Linked DNA regions of Oryzias latipes. The protein of the gene in region 2 binds, or shares a complex with, the protein of the main gene of each other region. Links are inferred from orthologs where the notes say so. Each region holds a gene or a part of one and is shown on either strand. Other genes may lie near its edges. The genes, in order: tomm5 and pink1.

What was found.
Region 1: the proteins of pink1 (region 2) and tomm5 are in contact, whole or in part, in a cryo-EM structure (PDB 9EII), measured with the Homo sapiens proteins. The link is inferred for Oryzias latipes from reciprocal best matches to the Homo sapiens genes PINK1 and TOMM5. Residues at the interface, in NP_115785.1 of Homo sapiens: Gln484, Ala488, Gln491, Ser495, Lys496, Pro498, Val502, Lys520, Leu522, Lys523, Leu524, Met527, Glu565, Cys568, Gln569, Ala571, Leu572, Leu573, Cys575, Ser576, Trp577, Ala579, Ala580; in NP_001001790.1 of Homo sapiens: Met1, Phe2, Arg3, Ile4, Gly6, Leu7, Ala8, Lys10, Leu11, Asp12, Pro13, Glu14, Met16, Lys17, Arg18.

Annotation. Positions count from the first base shown.
Region 1 is NC_019868.2:15,856,145-15,861,992, reverse strand, and holds tomm5 (mitochondrial import receptor subunit TOM5 homolog), read right to left. Parts: upstream 3,212-5,848; 5' UTR 3,105-3,211; coding exon 2,984-3,104; intron 2,430-2,983; coding exon 2,395-2,429; 3' UTR 2,122-2,394; downstream 1-2,121. Other genes in the region: zinc finger and BTB domain-containing protein 5, read right to left, coding at 1-805.
Region 2 is NC_019865.2:23,687,839-23,694,401, reverse strand, and holds the start of pink1 (serine/threonine-protein kinase PINK1, mitochondrial), read right to left. Parts: upstream 3,940-6,563; 5' UTR 3,828-3,939; coding exon 3,471-3,827; intron 1,623-3,470; coding exon 1,341-1,622; intron 1,257-1,340; coding exon 1,153-1,256; intron 1-1,152. Other genes in the region: trypsin-2-like, read right to left, coding at 6,262-6,417. UniProt on the Homo sapiens protein: Serine/threonine-protein kinase which acts as a sensor of mitochondrial damage and protects against mitochondrial dysfunction during cellular stress.

The DNA.
Region 1 (5,848 bases), on a different chromosome or scaffold from region 2:
CATATTTCTCCTCGTCTTCATCGAAACCTTGGTTTCCCCAGATTCCGTTGCTTTTTGGGGGGCTATCTTGGGATGATGTCTCCTCTCCTCTTTTTTCCTCAGTGCTCCTGGTCACAGTAGGCGAACGCTCCTTATAGTTTGCTCCAGGCAGTCGATGGAATCTCTTCCTGTCGTTGGGCCTGTCCTCTGATTTTCTCTTCTGTCTCAAAGACGTTTCCAGACTCTGCTCTCTGCTCCCACAGCTCTCTTTGTCTCCGCCTGACTGACTCACCTCCTCTCCCTCTTCTTCATCATCCAGGTCTAATATGATCAGCTGCTGGGAGCCGGCTGCTGCTTGCGAACACGGACACTGGCACTGCTTCTTCACCGACCTCCAACCCTTCGGTGCTGATGTTGGGAAGTTTTTCCTGGAAAGGTGGAGCTTGCAGGCTTTGACCACAGTGTTGAGATGCAAGTGTGACGCGGCCAGCAAAACATCCATGGCGCTGGAGGCTTCTAGAGAAAGAGTTGAGGTGTAAATCATGTCCAGGAGGATTGAAAAGGCCTCGGGGGTCACAACCTCTGGGTCCAGCGCCATCACACAGGGATCTCTGTTTCCAGCAGATGTGTCTGCTTCTGATCCTCCGTCGGCACTGTCACAGGAACTGATGAGAGCCCTGAAGTGAGAGCTGCAGGCAGCCAGGATAGAGCGGTGAGCTCGAAAGGTCTGATCTCCGACCACCACAATACAGTCACAGAGCTGAGCGTGGAGGCGCTGGTGGTTGAGCTGACTGAAAATATGCTGGAAATGACCTGGGAAGTCCATCTCTGCTGCTGCAGTGTCAGTTCTTGGACAGTCACCACTTTACTGTGGAAAAAAATATATGAAGGAGGTAAACAGTCCTACAAGTCCTACAATGCATCAGCTGAAACGTAGATCACGGCTCAGAGTAGCATCGTCTGCGATGGCTGCCCTGGAGATGCTGTGGAAAATGGGCGGGCAGAAAAGCACCGAGGGATGCGGAGGAGACGCGAGAATAGTCTCCAAAAAGTAAAACATGAGTCCACGCAGCGGATAGGGAAGCCTAAACTATAGTATACATTAAAAACCGATCTATCGTAATTATAAAGCCAGATGGTTCAAACAACCGAGCGATGCAGCATCCATTGTTACGGATGCCGCTGCCTAATCGACGCTTTGGTTAAACAACACTGCCCCCTAGTGGCTATAACAGTAATTACTTGGCAATTACTTACTGAATATAGAACAATTAATTTGGTGATTCTTTTTGTTATAAGACCAGCTGGAGGGGGAAAGAAAAGCTAGAAATAAAAATAATACACAATTCTTTGGTAAAGCTCAACTAATGCAAAGATAAAGAAAAACCTGTTTTTAAAAATTCTCTTGTTTGAAATTGAATAGAAACATATATTGTATTGTCTTAATTCTAACTCCTCTGCAGGCTTTTGCTTCTTCATTTAAATGCAGACACAGCCCTTTTTTTCCCCCAAAGTTGTTTCGCTGTGGCGACCCCTTATGGGATGTGCCGAAGAGGGGAACAACTTTCTGGCAACAACCCTCGTAAACTCCTGGATTAACACCCTGTGCTGGCACATACCTATGTACTGTATATGTTTATATTAACATATTTGTTCTTTTAAACTTCAATACTTTTTTAACCTCCTTGTTAAACGGCTTTAATTTTTCTTTTTCTTTATCTGCAATATACAGTTTTGTTTAATCACTGTAAGCACATAACTGACATTTTTAAATTGTGTACATACTGTCTTTTCTTGATATTGTGACTGCTTTCAATCTCATTGTACAAGTAAACAATGACAAAGGCATGTCTATCCATATAGAGAAAAACAAAATATTTTATTTCGTCCACACCTTTAAATAATAAAAAATCTAATAATTGAATGACAACATAGTGGTCTAATAAAATTGTTTTAGGGAAGCTTTTTAAAGCCAGAAACACCTGGAATAAGAAACTTCTGGCTCTAAAATTAAACAACTGAGAAAAACAAGGAATTTAAAATGCTTGTTAAATTACGCCTGCTTACACTATCGCAAAACGAAATAACAAAAACAAAAGAATAAAAAAAAAACAAATAAAGAAAATAAAAAAGATGCTCAAATAAATTACCATTGTTTCCATTTATTGAGCGGTACAACTAAAAGACATTTCTTTGAACAGAACTCTCCACTTAACAAACAGTAAGTGTTAAATATAAAGGCTGACAGACATTTAAAACATTTAACAAAACTAAAAAAAAAAAAAAGATCTTTGAAGCAGTGATGGAAGAACAAGAGATGCTTCAATGGCCCACATCTGCTGCAGGTCCTCGCCGTCTCTGATGCTGGAATCTCTTGATTGATGGTGGTAAATCCAGCTGGACTTCGGCCTCTTCTCATATGCTGTCCAGCTTCTTTAGCACATATGGGGCTGCAGACAGAAAAAAAAACACATAAAGATGTTGAGATGTTGCACAACATGGCAATAGAGTTTGGATAAAAAACTTGAACTCTGGCTGAGTTTGTGGAGTGAATTTATTGTTTTTTAGCATTTAATTTTTACAAACAGGTCTTCCTAAAATCTCTGCAATTACAACAGAACTTTTTTTAATTATAAAATCTTAAACAGCTTGACATTGAACCGTTATTATTTTAATGATAAACTAGGCTAATCTTTATTTTCAATAATTACGATTCATAAAAGCAAATGTGCATTTAAAAAATATCACCTTTAATAGAAAATTAGACTAATTTTAATCAAATTTGAATGCATAATTTTCTAATTTAACATAAGAAATCAACAAATCACTCAAGAGGAGAACTTAACTGTTTTATCCCTGTTTTGTTTTAGTGTTTAAAATCAGCTTGTGCTTCCAGTGTGAACAGACTAATAATCGATCACGGAGATAGAACGATGCTATGACAACAAATAAAGGAGGAAACACGTGTAGAAGTCAGTACAGATTGTGACCTGCGGACGCTTACCGGCTCTGAGCAGAGCGACGTAAAGAAGAAAGTTCCGTACAGAGGAAATGACGTCTTCTCGCATTTTCTTTTTCATCTCCTCTGGGTCCATTTTCGGACCGAGTCCTTCAAGTTTAAACATTTCAGCTTTGGTTAAAAACCTTTTTGGGGTCAAATTTCTTCCGTCGATAGCTTTGCGACGACGGGGTGGACGAAGTCTGGCAGGAAATACGTCACAGCTGACGTAGAATGGCAGCCTCGGAGGGTCAAACCGCACTCGCCAAGGTGATCGCTGTTTTTGTTTTAGCGATCTTTTTTTCTTTCTAAATTTTGGATTTATTTAAATTTCCTCAGTAGTTTATCCTTCAGGTATCATTTTTTGTTGTGATATTAAAATGTGTTTAGATTTAAAAACAGTGTTCTTTCTATTGAGTTGAATGTTTATCTTAGGTTAAAAATAACATTTCTTAAATATAAACATTTATTTGAGCCAAATGAATGGGGGCATTTTCCTCCCTCTTACTGTTTTTTACGTTTTACGTACTTTATTTATGTCGATGGTATTGCCCCCGTTTTTTTCAAACACTAATAAAATAAAATAAAATGAATAATTTAACATTTTACATCTAGAAATTCGTAATAAAATTATTCAGATGATTTGGGTGCATTTTAGTGGACGTGACACACAAAGTGGGACTTTTGGGTGTTGCTTTATTTGGCTAAACTAGATTTCTGGATAATTATTTCTGGGGGGAAAAATTTGTTTTTTTTATCAAGAAGTTCCAGAAATTTAATTTCATACTGTTTATTATCGACACGTAATTTTTATCGATGGAAATATCAACTGTTTATTAGAAAGATAATTGGTCTCACTGTGTCTTATTTTATTTTATTTTTTTTACTCCAAATCTTCTTTTTAGTTCTATATTATTTAATTAAAACTACTTTAAAAGCTTTAACGACCTTTAGGAGGAGAGGAGGAGGGGTGTTCAGCAGTCAGCGATGGAGGTTGGGAGGAGAGAGGGAGCCCAGAGTAGGAGGAGGAGGGGGAGGAGGGGTGGGTTGTTCCTGAGCTCAGGGCCGCGGATTAGAGCAGAGAGCAGCCCCGATGACAGCATCCAGCACGCAGCCAGGGCCACCACCATCATCTGGCCGGGGCGGATATTTTGGAGGCATCAATCGATCTCGATTTTTCCCGTGATCTCCCAGACAGACGCGCGCTGCGTCTGTCTGTCTCCTCATCAAACCACGAGGTGAGCCCCACTCGGTTATTGTCTGATGAGCGCGTGTCCACCCTGCGTCCGTCCAGCTCTGCTTTTGTGGTGTGTGTGTGTGGGGGGGGGGGGGGGGGGGGGGGGATAATTTCCTTCGTATCGAAATGAGAGATTGAGTTGACGATCAACTCCACCCTGACTGAAGGCGGGTGAGGGTGCGAGGGAGATGGTGGTAAGATTTAAATCCGATTAAGATTAGAAAGAAAGCTACAACAGACTGACCACTTATTCGTCTTTGTTTGGCCTCCTATAGGGCATGGCTGTGACCACTGATCGGAATGATTATACTGTAAAAATATGTGGAGACAGATCATCTTAATAAAACATCAAGGAGTAGAAGATCCATGATCTCCGCGTTACCGCGTTATAGCGCCTTATAGCCTAAATACAGCTGCGATTTCAATCCGACCACTCTACTATATTGAAATCTCCATATTTGCCAACACATGTCTGGAGCAGCAGGGTTGGAAATCTGCGCTTTCGTCTGCGCAGTGGAGTCACCGTCACTGATCGCGGATTGGATAAATACGCACGGATATGGGGATGCCAGTACGCTGGGTACCACACACGCACATCTTTTTTTTTTACTTTGTCTTTCCTGTGTCTTTTATTTATTTATTTAACCCTCTGTGCTGCGCTTTCTCCGTGCCGTGCGGGGCATGTCAAACGCAGCACCAGACAACTAGACCGGAACAATGCGTTTTTGTTGTTCTGGGGCCTTCGTTTAATGCATGACGTGACACAATCTGACCGCTCATCGCGCTTCAGACTTCTGTGATCCCACGCAGCTCTGCGACCGAGTCTGCGGTATTTAACGGCATCATATGCTGCGCGCTTTGAGCTCCATCTGCCATTTAGGTGTTGTCTGTGCGCGCGCGTGTTTGTGAGAGCTGTCCTATGCTGCGGGCATTTGTGTTGTGACTCAGGAATGTGCGCTCCATCCATGTGATGCGACTTGCTCTGAGGTCACTCCGCCAGAGGAAAATCACAACGGGCAGAACTCGCACATCAGGACAGACTTGATGCTTGCATGACAGCATTAGCCTGGATCTACTCTGCCGGCTGCTCTTCTGCCCCACTTTCTCCAGCCAGCCAGTCAGCCAGTCCTCCTCTCTCTCTCTCTCTCTCTCTCTCTCTCTCTCTCTCTCTCCTCTCTCTCTCTCTCTCTCTCTCTCTCTCTCTCTCTCTCTCTCTCTCTCCTCTCTCTCTCTCTCTCTCTCTCTCTCTCTCTCTCTCTCTCTCTCTCTCTCTCTCTCTCTCTCTCTCTCTCTCTCTCTCTCTCTCCCCATCTTCACGCTCAGCTTCATGTCTCCAAACTGTGATGTCTGTGATGGCGGGCCCTCCAGCCTCGTATTGAGAGGCAGATTAACACATCTCATCACATTTCCTCTCATTGATGAAAATGAAAGTGATTCATTGATCAAACCCAATTCAGTAAATTGATTAGCAACAGTTGTTTTTGGTTTCCGTGGAAACAAATTTCCCCTCTGAAAGTACACCAGTATTGTTCATGAAAGGAATAAAAAGGAGACCTGACCTCATTGATGTGACAGCCCCATGATGATTGCACAGCTGACTGGCAGGGGTGCCACAATGTAGGGCAGCTCTCTTA
Region 2 (6,563 bases):
CCATGTATGGTGAGAGCAATGGATAATCCATTAGATCAGGGGTTCTCAACGTTTTTGTAGCAGAGGGCCAAATTATGAACTCGACATTACACTGGGGGCCAATTTTGGTGAAAAAAAAAAAAGTTGTTTTTAATAACTTTAATGACCAAATGCCATTAACCAGGCCCTCCAGATGTTTTCCCAGTTGCGGTCGGAGGTTGCTGCCCAGATCTTCTACTCGTCTGTTAATAGTTTCATTTGACAGACTTTCTTTTGATCTGGACATACAATGTCAGCTACTTCCAGCATACATTGTTTTTACAAACTCCCAGTCAATGAAGGGCTTGCTTTGCTGGACCAAATTTCCAATTTCCAAAGCCACAATGTAGCTAGCTTCTGTCACAGCTTCACTGGATGTAGCCATTTTTGTAAACATCTGCTGTACAGCATAGCCTCGTTGTAGTTGTTGGAGATTATAGTTGCACTCCTTGCCGGTTGTCATAGTTTTTATGATTTGTGACATAGTGATGATTTTTTTGCTTGCAAATAAGGCACATGACTTTATCCAGCCCATGAGGTACGACAAAGTAAGCATTTGTCCACTTAGCTTGAAAGCGCCTTTTCTCCTCGCCAACACGTTTTTCCTCAAAGGAACCTACTCTGGCTCTCTTTTATCGAGGGCCACAAAAAAATCTTCCCGCGGGCCACCATTGGCCCCCGGGTCGCACTTTGAGAACCTCTGGACTAGATAATTCTTCTACATGCTCTTAAAATTCTAGAATGATTTTTGTGTTGCGATGGGATTTTGCTTGTTCTTTTACGGTATATATTCAAATCCCTTGTTCTCCACAAGGCAGTATGGCCTCATATCTGCCACTATACACTCTGATGGATTTTGTCATCTTTTTAAATTGCTGTGATGCAACCCTTTACGTTCATAATACGTTACATATCTATGCAAAGCCGCTAAGAAAAGCCGCTTATCTCCACGTCAGAATCAGCTGATACAAGTTGGTCACGTAAATGGTGGAAGAGTTACGGTACCTCAAGTGTGTTATTCAAGTGTCATGCTAACCGATCATCCTCCTCCCGAATAAAACACACCCAACTGTGGCTAGTGATCAGGTTCAGTAATGATTCGTTGCAGCCCTTTGACTTCGTTAACATATTTACCCGTCTAAAGTAAGTTGCTGTTTTGCTGGCGCCAGAGCGAGGGGGTCTGTGGGAACCAGCTCATGGGACATCGATCTAAAGATCGCCTCGTTTGATGACCCTGCCTGCAAACACATAGAATCACAACACCGGTCAGAAAGCGACCTTTCTTCCCCTCCCCACATACATGGGTGCTGGCCATGACCCACCCCAAAGTTCCACAGCATCTTGATTGCCAGCGGGAAGTTCCTTAGAGAGCAGCAACTCAGAGATGGCATGACGCGATTTCCTTCCTCGCCCTCACTGTCTCGTATCTGCACCGCGGCGGGCTCACCATCGCTTTTCTTGGAGCAGAAAAACTGAGGTGCAGCTTCATACACAGCTGCGTTGGATCCTTTCCCAATCTGGTTTCCTACAATGTAATCCTCCAGTTTGTATCCATAGGCCAAGGGCTTGAGCGGGCTCTGGAACTTCTTCTTTCTGAACACCGCCTGCAGTTCAGGAGAAATTAGATTCAGGTTTCATTAAAGCAGAGTTCAAAGTCTTTACTTTGGTATGTAAATGAAGTGTCCTTTTGAAATCTACAATTATACACTTAACTTTTAACACTAAAACAGCCTTGTAGAAGCCGATGCTCTGAGATTTAAGAAGCTTGACAAACTACCAGCGTGGTATCATTGATTAAAATTGTCTCATGAATTCATACAAACCTAATAGCATCAAACCAGTTATTTTTGCTAAAACTACTGCTAATGGGTTTACATTTACTCTACTTTCCTTCAGGCTAACTTCCTTGTTTTTGTTTTGTTACTTTCATATTATTGACCTCTTTTTGATGGACATGGATATTTTTTCACATAATCAGTGTGATGGCATGCATGTCACCCCTTTTTGGGCTAATTTCCACCCCTTCTGGGTCTCAAGCGGGCTGCAGGTGCATCATTTACAGCAGAGGGGGGGGTGGGGGGGTGGGGTGTCAGACTCCAGGCCTCGAGGGCCGGCCTCCTGCTGGTTTCCCAAAAATCCTGCCTTATCTGCTGCTGCTGCTGATGACTTGTGGATCAGGTGTGTTTAGCCAATAAGGAGCTTCAATGGCAGGTTGCTTGAAAAACATGTTGGACCCTCACGGCCTGGATTCTGACACCGCTGATTTACACAATCAGTTGTTGTTGCTTGGCAACAACAAAATGCTGCTAGAGAAGCGACCAGAGGGCAGGAGAGGCTAAGGAGACTGAGGTCCTTCAGAAATTGCAGGACTCTTGTAGAGATTTCATGATGGCACTGACAGGAACAGTGTGAAGATCCAGCTCCATTCTGGACATTCCTCTTCATCATCAGGATTTACTGCAATCGGTGCACTGAGGAGCTCCTTCAGTCAGAGACTTGAACACTTAGCTACAGGAATGAGAGCTTTTGCAGATCGTTCCTCCTGTCAGATATTAGACTCTAACACCTGACACTGGTCAATAGTTATTGTTATTCATTTTTCTAGTGTTTTATTTTTTTTTTGTTATTTATTTGCCGTTGTCAAAAGAGGTTGTAACAAGTGATTGATAAAGTTATATTCTATTCTAAAGTTTAAGTTTGTGTTGTTGTCAGTTGCAGCATAACTTAGTTTGTCACTTCCAGGGATGAGCTTGTACTGTCGGTTCATTTCACATTGACATGTATCAGGAGCAGACGAAACAATGCCGTTTGAAAAAATATCGTATTTGTGATGTAAAAAACATGCTGGGCAGGTCACAAGCTGCCTGCTCTGCTCCATTCCAAAGCAACAACTTGCAGACAAAGATCCGTGTTCGTTTACCTCTGGATAGCTCCAATATTGCTCACCATTTCTGCTAGGGATGAGGGTGTGGGGGCTGTAAGCTAGCGGGAGAGCATGTAAACAGAGAGCTCTCTGCAATTGGGAGAGGAAAGGGGGCGGGGTTGCTCCGTGGCAACAGTCCCGCCCACAACTCAGGGGTGAATTTCTAATAAACTACTGCAGACACTACGTCCAAGAAAACAAACGTTTTTTAAATGGAATAATCCTAATGAAAAGACCACTGGAAACGCTTTTAAAATAGATAAAAAATGATTAATTAATACATATTTTACTATAATAAATACTAACCTCATTGGACCCAATAAATGAAAGAATTAAACTTGTCAATTTATTTTATTTGAACAACAGATTTACACAGCTATGTTCTAAATTTTGTTTTTTCTATAAAATTACAGTAAAATCGATGATTTTTTTAAGTAAGTTTTAACATAAAACAGTCGCTATAAAAAACGCAAATATAAAATGTCAGATCTACTGAGGCTCAGACTGAAATGACAGCAGGAATTCATACCTTTATCTCATTGCACGTTGCCAAACTCAGCCTGTCGTCCTCAATCTGCTTCTCGATTAATCCCACACCGAGGCCAAACGCCAGAAAGACGGCTCTGTTCCGCGGTGAACCTCCGGCAAACCTCCTAACGAAGCCAGCCCACTGGAGCTGAGCTGCCAGACCCCTCAGTGAGGTGCGGTAATACCGGTATCGGAGAGGCAGGAAAGCCTGAGGCTGAGCGGTCCGGAAGGCCGGGCCCGCACGAACTCGGTCAGCTCGGAGCTTCGCTGCGACCCGACTACCTGCTTTCAGGACCCCCAGCTGAAAAATCGACCGGCCCAACTCCAGCCCTCGGCTAATAGCGTGTTTAACAGACATTGTGAGCCCAGAAGGGTTTTTAGAAACGTTTTAAAGCCCCGGGAATGCAGGTCAGCCTCAAACAGCTGCCGCGAGGAGCAAAGTTAAACAAAACAAATGCTACTGAGCATGCGCAAAGGACCTATGGTCATTGGTTTAGATAAAATACATTCATGGCCCCCTTCAACGAGTGGGAACCACAATACTGTATATTTCAGGCCTCAGCACCTTAGCGCATTTATTTTGTGTTGTGCAGTTAAAATTATCGTCTATATTTTTAATTAACGGTAATTGTTGTAACAAACTGAGTTAGAGCTGTTTGGATCCCAGCATCATTGTTTTTTTTTTCTAGTTACGGATATACTTTGAATGCATCATATTCATCCCCTTGACCCATCCTGAGAAACAGGCAGGATTGGCAGAATGATTTTAAAGGGGCGGGGAAAATACCAGTGCATTTTAAGGAAAGTTAATTATTTTCTTTGGATATTAATTTTAATTTTCTTCTTTTGTCTTTATAATGATAAGTAGTTTATTTGTGACATAAAAACTGTATTATTGAAGCAGGACCATAGACGCAGGGTAGGACTTGGAGGTTCCTGCTGAGCTTTGGTCAGAATTTGCACTGGAAGGTTAAAGGAATGATGTGACAGAAATAAAAGTTATTTTTAACACAGTATATGATGACAAATGCATAAATACATCTAAATCAGCTAACAACATTAGCTTGATTAACACATTTTTTTTATTTGTAATTATTCTTTCCCTCAATGTTAGAACTTTGTTTTCTCTGGGGGTTTCCAGACTATGTCCCTAAGTCTCTAAGATATGGAAGTTTTGTTTCACCTATAACTCAAAGTAATATTCAATTCTGAATTGACCATATCCCTGTTTAGTCCCAGTTTAAAATGCATTTTGCGATTTAGAATTCATAATGATAAAATAATAAAAAAGCATAATTAATTAAAAGTTGCAAAATGCATTTTATTTGAATTGTAGTATCAAAAAACCGTGACAGTTAATTTTAATTATTGTTCATTTTGAATTCTAAATCACAAAATGCATTGAAATGCCAATTGCAAAATGTGTGATCAAATGGAAAATTGAATTGCCTATTGAGAATTGCATGTCACTTTGAATTATGAGTGAAAAAACTTTTACAGGTACAGTTGCAGGTACCATATCAAGGTCATATTAATTTTTGTGTTAATGGAAATGCACACATAGGTTATTAAAAATCAAAATCAGTCCTATTACTCCTTCTATTGTTATTTTCACCATGAAATTGTTACGTCTGTGCTTATTCAAAATCCCTACAATAACATCAATTCTTACATTTATGACCATGATCCTTGTTATAAATATGAACAATACTAACATCACTGTTCCTTAATTCATTCATATATTTAAATTAAATTATTAATCGATATTATGCTTCTGCAATTTGGCTTTGGTTTGTTTTTCCTTTTTTCTTTTAAGGAGATTTTTTGATGCTTGGGTTTTGTTTTTCAGTATCTCATGGCCAAACAAGCCTCTGTGCATTTTCAGTGTATATTATGGGTAAAAAATCTTGCCCTCAAAGATTACAGAGAAAAAAGAATGTTCTTGAGCCTTGCTGACTAGCGACTGGTCCAGGATGCACCACGCCTTTGTTCAACATGAGTCGGAACGTTCCAGCAACCCCAAAAGGGATTCAGCAGTTTAAGAATATAGATGACGGAAAGAAATTTCCTGGACCAAAAAAAAAGATATTCATCACATAAAGCAATCTCATTAACGTTTAATTATTTATGCAACCTATCTAACAAAGGTTTTGGAAGCAGATATTTGATTTTTTATAACACTTACAGGTCAGAAATGTCTGGCATCTTTAAATATTTCCTAAAGGAGCAGTCTAAAATGTGTTTTATGGTGAGTAATTTTGGTTATGAATTATTATAGGTTCAGGTAGTCACCAACCATGCTGGGTCTTCTGTATTTCCTAAAACATATTTCAGAGGCAGAGATCTTCTTTAATTTTTTATTATTTTTTATGATGAGGAATAAAATAAAATGCTTGAAGAAAATGGAAACACTTTGAAAAATAAAACAAACAGCTCATCTTTGTTGTCATCAGATGCTTTATTCTGGATTGTCTTTTAGATGTAATAGCACTAGAAAGGTTTAAATGTCAATTCTTTGTCCCAATGTGTTTCTGTGCAAAGTTGCAAAATCAAGAGCTTCTGTGTGGCAAATTGTATCTGTGATTTGAGTCAAATGAGTCATTTTAAAAGTTTCCACTAACTGACTAACCTTTGACCTCTACAGATACTTCTCAATGTCATGTATTGACGAGGGACAATATATTGTGGAAAAAAACTGACCCCAAATCCCCTTTTGACATAACTTTGATCAACAGGTTACCTTTACATCAAACAATAGAAGCAATATTGAGAACAAGCTTTTCAGTGACGGCTCATGGAGAGTCATTGTTAATAATCCAGTTGATCCATTTGACGTACTGCCTCACTTTGGTGTAGACGCCGGGGTAGTATGGGTTAGCGCAGCTGATGCCCCAGGACACAATACCCTCAAAGTAATCATTGCAGACAAGCGGACCCCCGGAGTCGCCCTGTGAGGACACAAGAAGTAGTGTTTACTTTTAGCCAATGTCAGACTGTTATAGTCAGCTGTAAACGTTTTCTTCATATTTGCAGTGTCAGCTATTCAATAGTACAAATCAGCAGATTTTTAAGTAAGAAGAAAAAAAAACACCTT